3 linked regions of the Caenorhabditis elegans genome follow. The protein of the gene in region 1 interacts with the protein of each later gene in a pairwise test. Each region holds a gene or a part of one and is shown on either strand. Other genes may lie near its edges. The genes, in order: cki-1, cyd-1 and cdt-2.

Region 1 (3,250 bases):
AACCGCAATAAAAAGTCCGTTCCAAGGTCTTCTCGTGGGGAACTGTCTTTCTGGGTTGAATAGCACATAAAATATAAGAAAAGGGAGGAGGACGATGTTGATAATGTACTCTCAGAAAAAGTTATGCAATAAAAATGATTTATGGGACTAGAGAAGGTCCATTGATATGATGACTTGGTGTTATGTAATTAGTAATCAAACATGCTTATTTATTATTAGCATATACTCATAAACGTTCCATATTACTCAATTTGAATTAGAGAAGCCTAATCCGGCTGGTAGCTACCTAAAATTCACGCAATCTTCACGCAATGTCTATTTGGGTGGCAGTGGGTGAACCGGGAAAGATTTATTTGATCTTACAACATTTACAGAATGTTTGAAGTTTGAAGTTAATGAAGAATGTTAGAAGTTTCAAAATTATGCGCGGAATTGTACCACTTTTCGTGATTTCAGTATATTCTTTGCTGAAGTTACCAATGGAACTGCACCGTGTGCCAGTTTCTATTCGTCTTTTTTTTTATAAGTTGAAGAAAACACCAGAATACAGTTCTTAAAATAATTTCAAAGGGTTTATTTTTCTTTGAGTTGTTTAAAACAAATGGCAATGGGAAAAAAGAGTTACAGAGTTCCTAAACATGGATCACAGGGCTTTTGGAACAAACAATAAAACATTTGTGGAAACATGACTAGTTGAACAATTAAGAGAGACTCAGAAACTGTCGAGGAGATAATCAAATGATTAGATTCAACCCGTGGAATTGGGCAAAAAAAAGTCAAAATGAAACCTCTAGTATGGAGAGCATGAAGATCGAGTTCTGATCGTTGGACGACGAGATTTTGGAGTGAAGATCACATTCACCGGAGACAGCTTGTTTGGAGACAACGAATTCTTCTTACGGGAAACTGCCATGAAGTCGGTCATCTTCTGCTGACGCTTTGTTGGGGTCTTCCGTGGAGTTGGTGGCTCTCTGAATTGCCACTTCTTCGGTTCCTCTTCATCTTCGAACGAGCTGTTGGGATCCATCAGCGAGGGCTCCTCCTTATCAGATGTGCTCGGAGAGCTCAATGGAGTCAAAGTCGTTGAGCTGATGTCCAGCGATGAGCATGTGGTTCTGACAGTGAGAACTTTGGTTCTGAAAAATGAAACTGTTTAGTAAAATAACTATGAAAAATTTATAAAATTCAATTACCTGTAGAACTCCGGAACACAATTCTCTGGAATAACTTCATAAACGAATCCAGCAGAGCTTGGGAGGGGAGTCTCCAGTTCAAAGTCGAATCCCCATTTCTGGCTTTCTTCCTGGCGCATGCGCTTAACAGCATCTTCAAGCCAAATTCGAGTCCTGGAGCGTTGCTCGGGCGTCGGACGACCGAAAAGGCAACGACGAGCAGAAGACATTTGAAAAGAGTGAGGAAACCTGGAATAATAATAGTTTACATAAGAATGCATATCAAAATCGCAGTAAGAAGAAGAAGATGAAGTAAAATCATAAGTAAAATTGTAAAAGATGTGACGATGCTCTCAAGCGAGACGCCCTCCCGTCAGGAACACACATACATTTGAATATATATCCATCGAGGGAATAGCGGAAAAGAGGGGAGATACACGCCTTCCACGAGAAGGGGTGGAGTCATATGCGCGGAGGCAAAGAGGGTGTAATAGAGGGGTACTGAGGTGGTGGCCCGGTCATCAAAGTGCCCGAGGTCAGCAGTCGGAGAAGAAGGGGAACGGACCAAACAAATATTCAATGCGCAACGACTGGTGGCACCGACTCGGACCACGAATGAACGGAGGGGGATCAGATTTCTTTTGGAATGCCGTACTTTTTTGTGCGGAACCGAAGTGGTCAGATGAGAAGCATAAACATTTCGGAAAGTTCTTAGTGACGAGAGATATCTGATTATAGAGACGCAGAGAGAAAAATTAGTGCTCCGTGATTATGAGGAAACAGATGACAGATTGCACTTTTGATGAGGGCACTCAGTCAGAGATCTAGACAGTGAGAAGCTTTCGTATTGAAATGCTCAGAACTATCAAGATTATGGTTTACGAGATGTATTAGAAAGGTGAAAGGTTTTGACTAGTGAAGTATGGAAAAATGTATTTTTTTCTAGAAGAGAAATTATAAACAAATTGGCTTGCTCATGTCTGTCTCACTCCTTCTGTCCACTACAATATGTGTCATTTTTGTAACAAAAACATTTCCCATCCGGTTCTTCTTTCTACTCTTTACTAAAGAGGCACCTTCGTGCTGGATGGTGGTACGACTATGACTAATTGGATAAATAAATAGAATACCGTTGTGTTGGATGGGAGGAATGTATATCAATAAGATGACTAGTCTAAGGTGTATAGTTGGATGGGTAACATGATAGGAAGAAGAAGCAGTGATAACAACAATAACAGCCGGAAAGCAATACGGTACATTTGGTGACAGTGAGGAGCTCTGTTCAAATAGGCGGTCTCGAGTACTAGATAGTTGACCCTACGATTGGTCAACAAATAATATATGTGAAAGAAGACTGTGTGTTGTTACTTGTGATTAGGAAAAGGAACAGACAGAGAGACGACTAAGTGACCGACATTTTTCAAAGAAAGTAAAAACACAGGTGGGTTCTATGATTCACACCAGTTCTGTCTAAGCTCTTTGAGCTCAACTCAATTTAAAGAATAGTTATGGAAATGAGGCCTAGTTTTAGTTAGATACCATACATTACAAAAAAGAGCCAATTTTTAAAAAAGAAAGAAATTATGAACTATCGTAATACTTTAGAAAAGTTTTAAATCCTAAAATAATTCAGAAAAAGTCTTGGCAATTTGTCATTAAGAACTACCAACCGGCTGCTCGATCTCAACTCTCAACGTTTTGCACCGAGAAACGAGCATCTGTCCGGCTGGTAGATAGGATATGTGTGCGCAGAAGGGATTGTAACGAAGAGTGGTGTGGTTAGCTGAAGGAAAAGAGCCAGATGTTCGAAACGTTGAGCCTCGACCAGCATAACAAATTATGTAGCACGTAATTATGAAACCATTCACGGTATAAGATGAAGCTCAACCAGAACGGTAATGAGAAAAATAAGAGAGAGGAAATTAGCTTTCCGTGGGAAAAGCTTAGACACATTAGGAAGATGTTAATGTCATTAAGGATTAGAGGTGAAGCCGGAATAAATTAACAGGTTAAAATGAAAAATGAGACCACCCAGTGAAGCCGCACCTGTTAACTACTTCTTTTCGGAAAGAACAGAT
Region 2 (7,295 bases), 5.2 Mb from region 1:
TACAAAAATGCGGGAATTTTTAACCCAGAAAAATGTGACGTCATCACGCTCTTAGCCATGCAAATCCAGTTCAGAAGTCTACGTCTAAATTCCCGCAATTACGTAGATCAAACCGACATGGGACACACTGACGCCACGTGTTTCTCCAGTTCTAGACAAGTTCCAGATGAAAACTAAGCGGTTTTCCGATTTTCAAGCACAATTTGGAGATTTTAGATAACTTTGCTTTTTGTCTATTATTACAGAAATTGCCGATTTGCTGGAAAAAATTCAATTTCGTCACAAGAAACAAATTTTTTTGCACTGTTTTATAAAAAAAGGGGCCCGTCCACCTGCTTCACATATCTCTGATCTTCTACTAGCGCAAGCTCAACGTCATCAACAGATGCTAATAATGTATGTTGCGCTTATGGTCAAGATTTGAATAAGTGCTCGCTTCACGAGCTTGCAGTTTGACGCAACTCTAGAAGTGGGGGTCTGTGTGACGTCACAACCTCGAAGGGTCAAACAACGTCATATGGTGATTCCGGGTAAATAGTGAAATATATGTTTGGTGGTTGTGGGGAATCTTTATTATTTCACAAATAGAAAAAAGTAATCATCGAAACAGCGAGAATTTTTGTACAATACAAGTAATTTCAATGGTCATCAGAATTGGGTGTAGGAAGCGAATTGAGCAAGAGGGATCTGGAAAAAAGATGAAAGAAGCAAGTGGGAATTCTAGTATAGAAATGATTAATTTTTGGGAGGAGGCTTGGGCAGGATTTGACTAATCACAAACGAAGTCGTGGATGTGACAAGAACCAGGAAGCAGTTGGAATTTCATAGGAAAATCCAACAAAAGGTTCGAGCACATCCGAACTCTCGGAGAGGGGGAGGGAGGTGGAAATAACTTAGAATAAATGTTTTAATATATATATATATTATTTTTTTCAGAATAATAAGAATAATAAACTGGAAGATTTGTTGGGAACACCGGTTTAAAAATTAAAGTTTAGGAAATAATGCAAAAGCTACATAGAAAATGGAAGACTGGATGTGTTTTGAGATTTTTTGGGATTTGGTTTCGAATCGACATAGAAGCTAAACAATGCATAAAATAATGGGTAACAAATGTTCATAAAGTCTTGAAGATCTTCGGCGGCGTCGAGTCCTCCTCAAACCAGTCTGTGCTCCGACGACGCTTCTTCTCTGAGGATGCGGGGCTGGAGACATCAGACGAGAAGCCCGAGTCGTTGAGGGGAGTTGATGGAGTTTGCTCGGAGAGGGGGATCGGCTCGAGGAGCACAAGCTTCTGGAAGGCAGGTTCCTCTGGTGGTGGAGTTGGGAGGGGTTCTTCCTTGAGCTCCTTGAGCTCTTGGAAGGCCTCTGGCTCTTGAGTGGAGGCCGGCGCGGATGGTGTCGGTTCCGTCTTCTCAGCATCTTCTGATGTGTAGATTGGCGTTGTGCTCATGCAACGCTGCACCATCGGGATGTACGAGTCGAGAAGGTTCTGGAAAAGGTTTAGATAAGAAATTATAAGTGCTGATTTTTTTTTCACTAACCACTTCCAACTGGAACATGTTTGCCAAGAGATCCTTGATCTTTACTGCCAGCTCCTTATTCTGTGTTGGGAGATTCGATACGTAGTAGAGGCCAATTGCACATTGCATGGATGGGAATAAGGTGGCAAGTTTGTGCACTGAAAAACCAATATTCATATTATTGATTTTATCATTAAAATTCCAAAATTCCAAAATTTAAGTTCAATCTTTTCTCCCCCCTTGGCCCATTCATCACTGTTCCCTCTGCCAATCATTCGCTCGCTCGCGCCTCAAGGTTTCGATTTCAATCATTAAGAAAAATCGAAGAGGGTGGCTGTGGAGGACATAGATGATTATCTACGAACAAGTCTCTAAGTGTCTGGGCGTCTGAAACATCAGTGGAACTCTCTCTGCCTCAAAGTGCGCGTTTTCACACCTTCATACATATCTTCCAGGGGTCTGACGCGCCAAAAATTTTGAAATTGAAACGGGCTGGCTGCCGAGAGAGAGAGAGAGGTAAAACGCTTATCTTGTGCTAACATAAACTTTGCCTACTGTAGAGGAAGGTCGTCGTGCTATTTTCATGTAATTTCACACTCCTTTTTCAAAACCGACTCTCCAAACCGCTTGTGACATCACACGTTCTTCACAATGCCTTGCGTCAAAAAAATCACCAGAAGCCCATTCAAACATGCGCAATTAGGCTATGCTCCTTTTAAGCCTCGAGCACCTGTTGACAGTATGTGTAGGATCGCGCGGTCATGTTGCATAATTGAATAGACCGCCCGAAATGACAGCTGGTAGACGATGATGATGATGGTGATGATGTAAAGATATTTGAAAATCTGGGAAGCATCTCATCCTCCTCAATGAGGATGGCACACGCTTCCGTAATCCCAATAAAAAAGTAATCGACCGCGAATGAATTTATATATCGGTCAAACGGATGTCCAACGATTGATGACTCCTTCTTCAGCTGCTCCTTTTCAAATTCCACTACGGGGGCACTGTCAATCAATTAGGCCTTGGCTGATGAAACATTCATTATTATACGATGATCTCCATTCAAATTTCAAATTCAAATGTCATCAGTTGCCCCAGAGAGATGACCCTTCCCATACTGTCATAACATTAATGTAGATGATATACATCCCTTGTCATCGGTGGTGTCTTGGAAGAGCAGATTGCGACATAACTTTTCTTTGTGTGTGAGGGCCGCGCAACAACAGGCACAACATCACGGGGGCTCGTCATCGTAAATCAAGAAGCGCAGATTTCACTCCTTTTCACCCCCATACATACATACCTACAAACACACACACACGGTATTCTTTCATAATCTAGCCCAAATCTTCCAAATGTATAAATCAACGGGTAGGCACGCGCCAGGTGGACACAACTTTCCTAATCCGTTTGGATAACTGAACATCCATTAAGGCAGAAGGATATGGGGGGGGGGGGGGGGGGGGCAAACACTGCGAGATGATCGATCAGAGCATTCCATCACGCTATCAAGTTGCCAAAGGCGATGCCGATCGGAAGTTTTGTTCAAATAAACATTGGGCAATAGGTACAAGGGCATTTTGAAAAAGGTATTGCCTACTGTAGAGCCTATTCTTTGAAGTCACTTCAACCGCCGGGATTAAAGCGACATGTGTTTAAGGGGAGTCGCCTTCTAATTGTTTCGGGTGTCAAGTGATCCGCAACAGTTAAACGGTTTCCCTAAGAGCCCACTAATTTCACCCCCCAAGCCATGCCGCCCGGGAGATAGCTATCTATAATTGAACCCGGGCCACCTGGGCTGTCATGTCACTATTTACAGCCATATTCTTCTAATTCAGATATTCACCCAGATGTTCTTAAGAGTAATTGCAAAATTGTACTACCCCACACACACACACGCGCACACACACAGTCATTTTTTAGCGTCTCAGTGTGTCACCACAGAGGAGGACGGCTTGAGAACAAAGAGGACGCACAAAATTTTGTGTACCTGGTACTGACTCACTTACTTTTTGGTATCTTATATCTGTAGTTGGGGGGTGGGAAGCCTTAACAAAGGCGCTAAAACCTAGGTCAGCGCGTGTCAAATGACCAATGAGCCGTACGCAAAAACTAACAACTAACAACTTTTGGACTGTTTGCATAGGCTAATTCCGAAATTTTCCTCAATTCAATTCGGTCTAAGATGAACTTTTTTCGATAGGTAGGACACTTTCCCTTGGGGAGATAGGACTTAAGCTCATTAGACAAAGACTGGCCCACTAGCCCACCTGCTGTGCTGGAAAGAAGAAACTTGTTTGTTTGATTTGGCTTAGGTGGAGGTGGATTAGGCTAAATTAGGCTGGTAATGATGAATCAATATGGAAAGTGCAAAAAAAACAGGCTTCTTCCTTCTTTTCTAGAAGCTATTTTTCTCCCCTCATCCCGGCCAAAAATATCCTAGTAAATCTCATTTTTCTTGTCCCTTCCACCACATTATGTAAATGCAACGGTGTCGCTCGCCCGACCCTACCGCACAGTCCTACGACCACCCATCAAAAAAACTTGTCTCTGTTTCCTTTTTTCGCCCCGGGAACCCTGTATGGGTGGCCCACCGCCGGCAATAAGTACAAAAGAATGGGGGACACGCGACGCACACACACACAACATCATCCAAAAAACGACTTCGATTTTATAGAGATTAGACGGGAGAAAGAACACCCTTCCGATTGAAAAATGACACGCGCCAGGGCACCAGGGGGGGGGGGGGGGAGTGAAAGGAACAAAAAAAAAACTACTGGACTAGGTGGAATGAAAGAAATGAAAACTCACTTTTTTGGCACTTCTGCACAACTGTCTGAAAGTCGCCCCTCATGTTGTGAATCTGTGGGATTCTTGAGGCGAGAAAGTCGAAGAAGGAGAACGCCGTCGGCGACTCGGTCTCCCATTGAAGTGTCGTCACAATGAGCAGCTCCCACTGAAGAATCATATCGATGGGGCAACTGTTATCCGAGTAGTAGGCGATCTTCGACGCGGTCATCGGATGTGGGGCCTTCAGTTTACTGGCGATAAACAGCGCGACTCCGGCGATCATCTGAACGGGTCTGATTTCATAAATGTTGATATGATGGGAGGAGAGGCAGGAGGATTAGTTTATGTACTTCTAACACTAGAGGTGAAATTCCAAACATACTCAATATACTCACCTGAATATCATGCTTCAAAATATTCTGCACCGACATAAACCTATCGATCAGCGAAACAGCCAACAAGAAGACGTCGCCATCACAATTCTCCTCCTTTGCCACGTCGTAAATCCAATCGATCGCCTGCTCTCGATGAAACGGCGTGATGTTCTCCTGAACGCCGGTGAAGTAGTGATAGTTGGGCTGTAGCGCCTCCTCGTACTCCATACAGTTATAGAAGGCTCGCATGTCGAGTTGAATATGAGGATCCGTACGGTTATAAATCAGTGTTCGGACATTATCGTTCAGAGCAGCCGATCGAGATGGGTGTAATTGACAGCTCACATTTGACTGGAAAATTGAAAATTGTATTTTAAAATTGTACTTTAAAATTTAAAATTGAAAATCAATAATTATGTACATACATGTTGAATAGATGAAGTGGTCGAGATTTTCGAAAAGAAGATTCTTATCTTTTTTCACTTGGAGGAAAATTAGAAATTAAGCGTGAGGGAGAGAAAAAGAGTGGGCGACGAAAAAGGTGTCAAAATTTTGCCGAAAAAAATCTACCAAAAAAAAATAGAGAAGGACAAGTCTCCTACTGCGACACACACACAACTTAAACACCAGAAAAAAAAATGTTACCTCGGTAATAGATGTTTCCGACAAAACTGCTGAAACTTGAGGAAGCATCGATAATGTGCATGGCTCCTCTGCGTAAGATGTGCTCGGACCAGCCGACGACGACTCAAAGTCCATCTGGAAATGGAACTTCAGGAATTTATTATTAATGCTTATTATTAAATCTCAAAAAGTTAGTGAATTTGAGAAAATTGTCAAGTGGAGAGAGAAAGCAAGAAAAAAAAGTAAGTCAAGGTACGGCACCTTGACTCGCAATGACAGTCGAGTGACCGGAGGCGGGTGACTGCCAGGGACTCCGCCCAGTTTTTGCGCACCCTCTCCCCCACCTCCCCCCAGGGCCAGCCGTCTCCCCCAGGCACATGAAGGAATGAAGGTGATGATGATGAAGACGGGGGGTTTTGGGATTTTTGAGAATGAAGAAAAATACTTCTGCGCTGATGTTGCTGACTGAACGACGACGAGCTGGCAGATGACCCAAAGACAGCGGGATACTGGGTCAGCAGTCGGCAAATTGCAATATTGGGAAGAGGTTGGCGGGGGTCATAAGGTGTTAAAATATTGATTGGTGCACAGTTATGGACCACGAAAAAAAAACAAACTGCGGATCGATAATTACGTCCTTGACAAAGAAAGGTGTCAAAATCACTACACTCTTCCGGTTTGGCAAAGTTCCAAGGTTAACGGGAGACACGGAGGGTACTAGCAGCTTTTCCTGTCTAGACAGGTAAAGGGTGTCAATAAGGCAAAAAAAAATAAAAACGTTCAGAATGATTAACATTTTTGGGTAATATGTTTAAAAAAAAAGTGTTAAAACTAATTGAAATTTAAAAATCAATAAAATTTTGATAGTTATCTAAATAGGCTTCTAACTTTCCAAAAATCAACAAAAATCAAATTTTGAAAAACAGAGAAAATTACGCATCTTCTAGCCTTTCCAAGTATACAGCAGAAACTTCAAGTTTTGTGATATGCTCTAAAATCACCTAAAATACTTTGAGCATTTTGGATTTTTTCTTATGATGCTCTTTTACTAGAAAAGTATTTAGAAATGACGTTAGTTATCGTCAGTGTTAAAATACCCTTTATAATTTTTTTACAGTTAAAAAGTGGGTTTTCACAGTTTTTTGACAGGCTTTAATTTTTTGTATTCATATATTATAGGGATGAAAACTTGTAGAAATGCTCGAAATTACTGAAAAAGTCCATATATATTTGGTTTTTTTTTGCCAAAATTTAGACTGAAAATTTTGAAAAATCTTAAAATAAATCCAGACTGTTTTATCATATATTAGGTAGTTTTAGACTACCAAAACTATATTAAGGGCCAAATCTCCTTTAAAGTGTCCAAAAATCTATGTGAAATTCGGGCCTTTTCTAAACATCTACGCTACACCTGAAAGCGCCTATTAATGTTAATATATAGGATTTTTTCTTACGGGGGCTCTTTTACTGGAAAAATAATAAGAAATTATGTTATTTATTGTCAAGGCTAAAATGTCTTTTGTAATTTTTTTTACAGTCAAAAAGTGATTTTTTGACCTACTATAATTTTGAAGTTCGTCTTGGACTGAAATTTTTGACATTTTCTAAACATCTACGCTACCCTTCAAATTCAAAAATTTGTCTCCCATGGCAGCATATATATATATTTTTTTGTATCTTTATTTCTCCCCCACCACCTTTAAAAAGTTCATCCAAACACTAAACCACACACACGACATTTGGCCTATTGTTTTGGGAGCCACCCATTGAACACAGTGGTGGGTTCCCAAACTCATAAATTGTACCGGACAAGCAACAAATCAGACGGAGCAGGGAACGGGGAGAGGTGGATATGGAAGGTTAACACTCAAGTAATCTTAGAAAAGTAGAAAAAGTGAAAGTTGAGAAAATTATGGTAGTAAAAGAGATTGGGATGCGCCATCCCACACGTACTACCAGGTGTTCGGCCAGCTGCCCATAT
Region 3 (6,054 bases), on another chromosome or scaffold:
TACCCCGCTGATACGGTAACCATTCATTATTTTATTTCGCAATTTTTCTCTTGATATTTTACTTCTTTCACATTAATTTTATGATTTAAATACAGTTTTACATCAAAAAGAACACAAATCAATGAAAAAACAAGGACTACGAGAAAAAAAAACAAAAAGTGTGTTTTGATCTTGATCTTGACCCATTGCGGCTGGCGGCAAAACTTGGATTTTCATTTTTATGCGTTCCAGTTTCTTGAGCGTTTCTGAGTGTTTTCGGCGCATTTCTGGTTTTTTTGGAGTTTACAGCCTTTTTCAGAAATTGTTTCACTCGATTTTTCTATTTTTTCTGTGCATATATGCACAGAAAAAATATATGGTTTCCATTTTCCGAGTATCTTCAAATCTGCGTTTTGATTTTTTACTTTTCATTCTAATTTTCAGGTAAGATGTCGTCTAGTGGCTCTCCACCTTCCACGCTTGTATCGACTTTCGAGGAAGCAATTGCGAAGTTGACCTCACTTTTTGGCATGATGCGCATGATGGAAGCAGAAATTAAGGATCAGCGGAACAATCTTCAAGCATTGAAAAATTCCCAGCGCCTGTCTGTCAGAGGAAGCATTCAGTCAAATATGTCGAGCAGGACGGATGGAATTCTTCAACGAAGACTAGATGAGACGGAGAGAAAGTTGGCCAAAACTTCAGCCGAACTCAAGGCCAAAGATGAGAAGTTGAAGAAGGAGACGGCAAGTCTTGAAGCCAGTCGTGAGGCTCATCGATTATTGCAAGAAGAATCGAACAAGTCGAAGGTGTCTGTGATGCGCCTTACGTTCAAGCTCAATCGCATCACACATGAATCTGTGAAAGAGCAGGCTGTTCTGAAGAAGAAGCTTCTGGACTGCGAGACCCGACTCGCTACATATTCCGAGTGCCTCGTCTGCTACCAGAAGTTTGACGAGAACACAAGAATTCCACGTGTCATGGGTGAGTAAATAAACGGATTTAAATGCTTGCTTGATTATAGATTATTAAGCTGAACTCTTATCAATTTCAGTCCAATAATTCTATCAAATTTTCAGACTGTGGACATACTCTGTGCGACTTCTGCATCAATCAGATTGTCAAGATGGCGGGTTGCTACAGCGCAACATGCCCTTTTGACCGTGTGCGCATTTTTGGATTTGGGAAGAGTCGTCGTCTCGAGGATCGCCCTTGCAATCGATTCATCATGAAATAACTGCTCCCATTTCTACATTGAAGACTCACTTATTGTATTGTGAATACTCTTATGTACATTGTTTTATCGAGAATTTGTAAATAGTATTATACTTGCACCTCTAACCTTTTTTTGCACCTTTAACCTATTTTATTTAGATTTCGTTTACAAAAAAGAAACAATAAACATTTCATGTCATGTTTTTCCTCAAATTCTCCGTTCTGTTATTGGAATTTACACCGATGAGAATCATGTTGCGTTCAATTTTTTATTGAAGAAATTTTACAAAATATAATGAGATCACAGTTGATTTCTTTCCTCGTAAAAGCGAATCATTTCTTGTTAGTAGTTGTGACGAATTCGAGAACTTGATCGTAGAGCTTCTTCTTTGCTTCTTGTGGAATTTCCCTTCTCGCCATATCCTTGACAGCATCGAAAACCTCCTTGGCACTCACGTCATCTCTGGCTTTCTGAAAAATGAGAATTAAGCGATTATGTTTGAACGAAACTGACCTCCAAGAACTTCTTCACTTCTTTCCTCACAGCGATCTCCCATTCACTATTTTGCAGACTGCTGAGTAATGTACTCTAAATTTATTGGAATTATGCCACCGAATTTTACGAATTTACTCACTTTTACAAGCGCCGACTCTCCACTGTCTTGAAATTCCATTTCGATCTGCTCTGGCTTCTTACGCATGATCAGGTCGTCGTTCATTTTTCTTTTTTTTTAGTTTTCTGAAAATTAACATAATTAATAAAATAAAACAATGCTTTACAGCAGATTTTAAAGAGAAAAACGAAGACATACACAAAGAAAGAATATGTAAAAGGTGTGTCGATTTACGATAAACAACACGCGGGCGCAATAGTGGAGTGTCGTAAGATCCGCGAAAAATGTGAATTCGAAAGGTTTCTTTTTTCTACCATTTTATAGTATTTTCTACCATTTTATCATTTTCTCAACTAAATTTCACTTTTTTCAGATAAAATATGGATTTTCTCCATTCAACAAAAGCTAGAAAAAGATATCTTCGATATCCATCATCAATATATGAAGAATTAGAATCAAAACATTATTCTATGCCGGCCGGAGAAACCGATGATCACGTAAGATTTTGCTGAGGAATACGCTGATAATTTCATAAAAATAGTATTTCAGGACACTTGGGTAACAGCCAGGTTTTCGCCTCACTTGAATCAAGAGCACATTTTGTACATGGGAGATGATCCGGGAAATATAGGAATTTTCGATGTTCGCAAGTTTCAAGATCGATCAGTGCCTTTGGAAGAACGGCAACTTTATTGTGATCTGAGCATACCTTGATTGAGGAATTTAAAAATCAAAAAGATTTCAGTTTTTCCCGCTCACGATGGTGCAATTATGGACGTTGTAGGTGTTCCCCAAAAGGAATCGCAAATTGTTTCAATATCTGGAGATTCTACTATTCGATGTTGGGATTTAAATCAATCTACGTTGGATCGAAAGTCCCAAGTGTTTTTTGGACACGAAGGATCTGTACGGTCGATCTGTTTCGCTCCGGATGATCCTAGTAAGTGTTTTTGATATTTTAAAAAATTTTTCGTGATAAAAATTTAATTCCAGACGTTTTTGTGACCGGTGGACGTGATTTCCAAGTCAAAATCTGGGATATGCGAGTATCCACAGTGAAGAAGATGGAAGAAGATTGTCGAATGGCAACTATCACATACAAGACTGCACATCCAAAACCATCAAAAGTATTAACATCAGGAACTCCTAAATCAAAAGCAAAAGCGAAAACGATAGAAGGTTATAAAGTGACAAGTGTTCTTTTTCTTGATGAGCATCACGTGGCAAGTGCTTCAGAAAATGCAGATAGTGGAATACGAGTCTGGGATATTCGAAAACCGACAAGAAACGGAGAAGGCCAGCCAGCCAGAATTCTAAAAGTTCCCACATCCAACAAAAAATCGTATGGGGTGACTTGTCTGACATTAGATCGTTTTGGTAATCGACTGTTTGCGTCATGCACCGATTCTTCAATTTTCGAGTACTCCGTTCCATCGGAGTCTGTTTCACCGAGTAAGGTTTATCGAATTTGGGTAGAAATCTCAGAAGAGAAAATCAGATTTATTTTTTAGCCGCGGCAAATCTACAAATTTTTTCATTAAAATTTAGTGATAGAGTATAAAAAATCATTTGATTCATATGAAAGTAGCTTATTTTTTAGCTGGGACAATTGAAAAAGTGCTCAAAAATCGCCGTTTGCCGAATTTTCCGGTAATTTTCAAGACAAGTTTTGAGCACTTTTCAATTTTTTTCGACTAAAATTATAGCTAATATCAGAAAATTCAAATTTTTTTTGCCATATTTTAGCACTAAATTTAATGAAAAATACTAGAAGAACATGCCATACTAGCCAATTTTGTAGAATTTCTGGTATCTCATCAATTGAGAAAGTCACAAACAAATAAAAGCATTACTTTGTGGCATTCCATGTCTTGTGCTTCAACCACGTTGCCGACACATGTTCTCGATCAATACACAAAAAACCTTGAACTTTCAGTTAATTCCTACACTGGCGCCACCATTCACAACTTTTATACCCAAGTCGCCTGCTCTCCGGTTTCTGATGTGATCGCATGTGGAAGTGAGGATAGTCGGGCTGTTGTTTGGGATCTTCAGGATCAATACAACTACATGAATGATCGAAAACTTCCGGATGATATTGACAAGCGGAGAACGAAACTTCCGCGATTTTCCTGCGATGGTCATCTTAAGCAAGTGTTGAACGTCGGATGGAGTTCTCGTGGAACATATTTCATGTCTTGTGATGAAGGAGGCGTCCGAATCTGGTCAGAGCCTAGGAATAGATGTACATGGAAGTTGAATGACGAAGATGATACCTCTTACCCGACTACTTCCCAGGAGCTCGGACTTTCATACGAAAAAATCAAGAAATTTGAGCTAAAAGAATCTGATGAAGCTATGTCGTGTTTCGATAGTATTTCCTTATCACCCAGACAGCGAGCTGATTCTTCCGGACTAAGTGGATCACCACAGAAGAATCGAGGATCGAAAAGACCTATATTTGAAAGCCCGTTAAAATCAATTTGCACAAATAGTCCAAAACCTCTCAGATTGAATAGATCTCCGAGAGCCAAGATGAGCAAGTAAGGAATATTTATCAGAAAAATGCAATCGACGTGGAAGCGTGCTCCACGGCCAATTGAAAACGCTCCGCCCCTACAAGCTGGGTCTCGTTAGGTGTTTGGCGGCATAACTGTAATTCCAAACGTTTTCAGTTCGTTTCGCCAATTTTCAACCATTTTCGTCTTAAAAAAACTACAATTTTCGTTGTTTAAGGTTTTTTCATTTTACTATATCTTTTCAATTTCGGCAAAAAATTATTAAACGCTTGCAACGAAAAATATTTTAAAAATCAAAAAAAAAACCTTGAGATCGGCGGATTTTGCCGTCAATTCCCAACGAGACCCAACATTTTGGGGCGGAGCGTTTTCAGTTCGCCGTGGAGCGCTCTTGCACCTTTTCGATTTTAAGTATACACTTTTCGTAAGCATCTAAAAAAATTATTTCAGATTATCTTTCTCCCCACCATCACCACTTCAACCAACTAATTCAAATAACCAGGATCTTGTCGGCTACCGTACTCCCCGACAAATCCGTAACAAAAAGAAGAAGAATAATCCATTTTACAACGAGCATCCAACTGAGGGTCTGCCAAACTTTGTCTACGATACATTCGTCAAAAAACTCATAGGAGAATCTTCAAAATCTGATATTGAAGATTCCGGAAAATCGTTGAGCAAGACTGGACAGAAGAGAATCGAAGACTGGTGGCAAACCAAGGGAGAAAATGTGGCAACAGTGACAAGGGCGAGGTGAAAAAATTATTAAAATTTGTCATAAATATTCAATATTATAAGTTTCAGACTCCCAAGTGTCAGTGAATTCGGTGAATCAGCATGCTCAAAAGTTATAACCGAAGACGAACGGATCGCTCTTCACTCTCCGCGTAAACTTGTTCTCAAATCATCTTCAACCCAATCTCCGTGCCCATCAAATTCAAAGCCTAAGCCCATCCCAATGACTCCACGAAAACCGATGGATAAACGACCGACAAGTCGTAATCTGTTACACTACTTCAAAAAGTAGAAATTGTGTGTAGAATTAATTGTTTTATCTCTTTCCCAACCCATGTTGCTATGTCATAAGTATTTTCACTCCCCTTCCCCATTTTCATCAGTTCTAAACTGTAAATACGTTCCTTTTTTTTCGTTTTTATCCCCGAAGCCTAATCATCGTCGGTAAAATAGTGAAAATCTGTAAAAGTAAATTAAAATTTTTATTTTTAACCCTTTGTTAGAAACAATTAAAACAAAACAACTGAAAATGTCATTTTTAAAAACCCGTTCCTCTCTTCTTCCTGCTACTCCGTTTGACTTCTACCTCCCACGACCAAATCCACGATTTCCGATTGTCCGTAAGCGATTCAGTAATAGTGTCGATTGAGCAGATGATGCAGTTGATGACGTCATTTGTTTGAATCCGAACTTGGACTTGACCTCGATCATGAGAACTTGAATAGCCTGGAATGCTTCTCGGCACACTTGATTGATCCGATCTTCTGGGAGGGAGAATCCAGTGCTGGAAATTGAAAAGTGGGTGAAAATAAAAAGAAAATAGTCCGGATAACTTACAAATCATCAATTGGAGAGAGCTCGATGGTGTAGGAGTACTTGATTCCACGAGACTTTGCCCAATCATCTGATGCTCCAGCGGCAGGATCTGAAATATAAAGTTTACCAGAATAATCGTATCGTCGGGAACTTACAAAGGCCATCTCCAGAGTTTA

What was found.
Region 2: the proteins of cki-1 (region 1) and cyd-1 interact in a two-hybrid assay, tested with the Caenorhabditis elegans proteins (one study listed by BioGRID).
Region 3: the proteins of cki-1 (region 1) and cdt-2 interact in a two-hybrid assay, tested with the Caenorhabditis elegans proteins (one study listed by BioGRID).

The regions. Positions count from the first base shown.
Region 1 is NC_003280.10:7,809,411-7,812,660, reverse strand, and holds cki-1 (Cyclin-dependent kinase inhibitor 1), read right to left. Parts: upstream 1,422-3,250; 5' UTR 1,403-1,421; coding exon 1,194-1,402; intron 1,137-1,193; coding exon 791-1,136; 3' UTR 556-790; downstream 1-555. UniProt on the Caenorhabditis elegans protein: Negative cell-cycle regulator that functions at the G1-to-S-phase transition. Required for suspension of the cell cycle in dauer larvae and starved L1 larvae.
Region 2 is NC_003280.10:12,986,377-12,993,671, reverse strand, and holds cyd-1 (G1/S-specific cyclin-D), read right to left. Parts: upstream 5,450-7,295; coding exon 5,336-5,449; intron 5,042-5,335; coding exon 4,712-5,041; intron 4,600-4,711; coding exon 4,338-4,599; intron 4,207-4,337; exon of another isoform or gene 4,023-4,206; intron 1,682-4,022; coding exon 1,545-1,681; intron 1,493-1,544; coding exon 1,118-1,492; 3' UTR 555-1,117; downstream 1-554. UniProt on the Caenorhabditis elegans protein: In association with cdk-4, regulates the progression through the G1 phase of the cell cycle during postembryonic development. Regulates proliferation of the coelomocyte lineage and intestinal cells during late embryogenesis.
Region 3 is NC_003283.11:14,987,047-14,993,100, reverse strand, and holds cdt-2 (WD_REPEATS_REGION domain-containing protein), read left to right. Parts: upstream 1-1,974; 5' UTR 1,975-2,107; intron 2,108-2,181; 5' UTR 2,182-2,188; coding exon 2,189-2,305; intron 2,306-2,357; coding exon 2,358-2,502; intron 2,503-2,553; coding exon 2,554-2,748; intron 2,749-2,801; coding exon 2,802-3,260; intron 3,261-3,744; coding exon 3,745-4,351; intron 4,352-4,777; coding exon 4,778-5,080; intron 5,081-5,131; coding exon 5,132-5,354; 3' UTR 5,355-5,554; downstream 5,555-6,054. Other genes in the region: T01C3.3 (RING-type domain-containing protein), read left to right, coding at 429-963, 1,059-1,216; T01C3.2 (Transcription and mRNA export factor ENY2), read right to left, coding at 1,528-1,665, 1,709-1,783, 1,830-1,913; F02D8.4 (Peptidase M14 domain-containing protein), read right to left, coding at 5,645-5,846, 5,900-5,987, 6,034-6,054.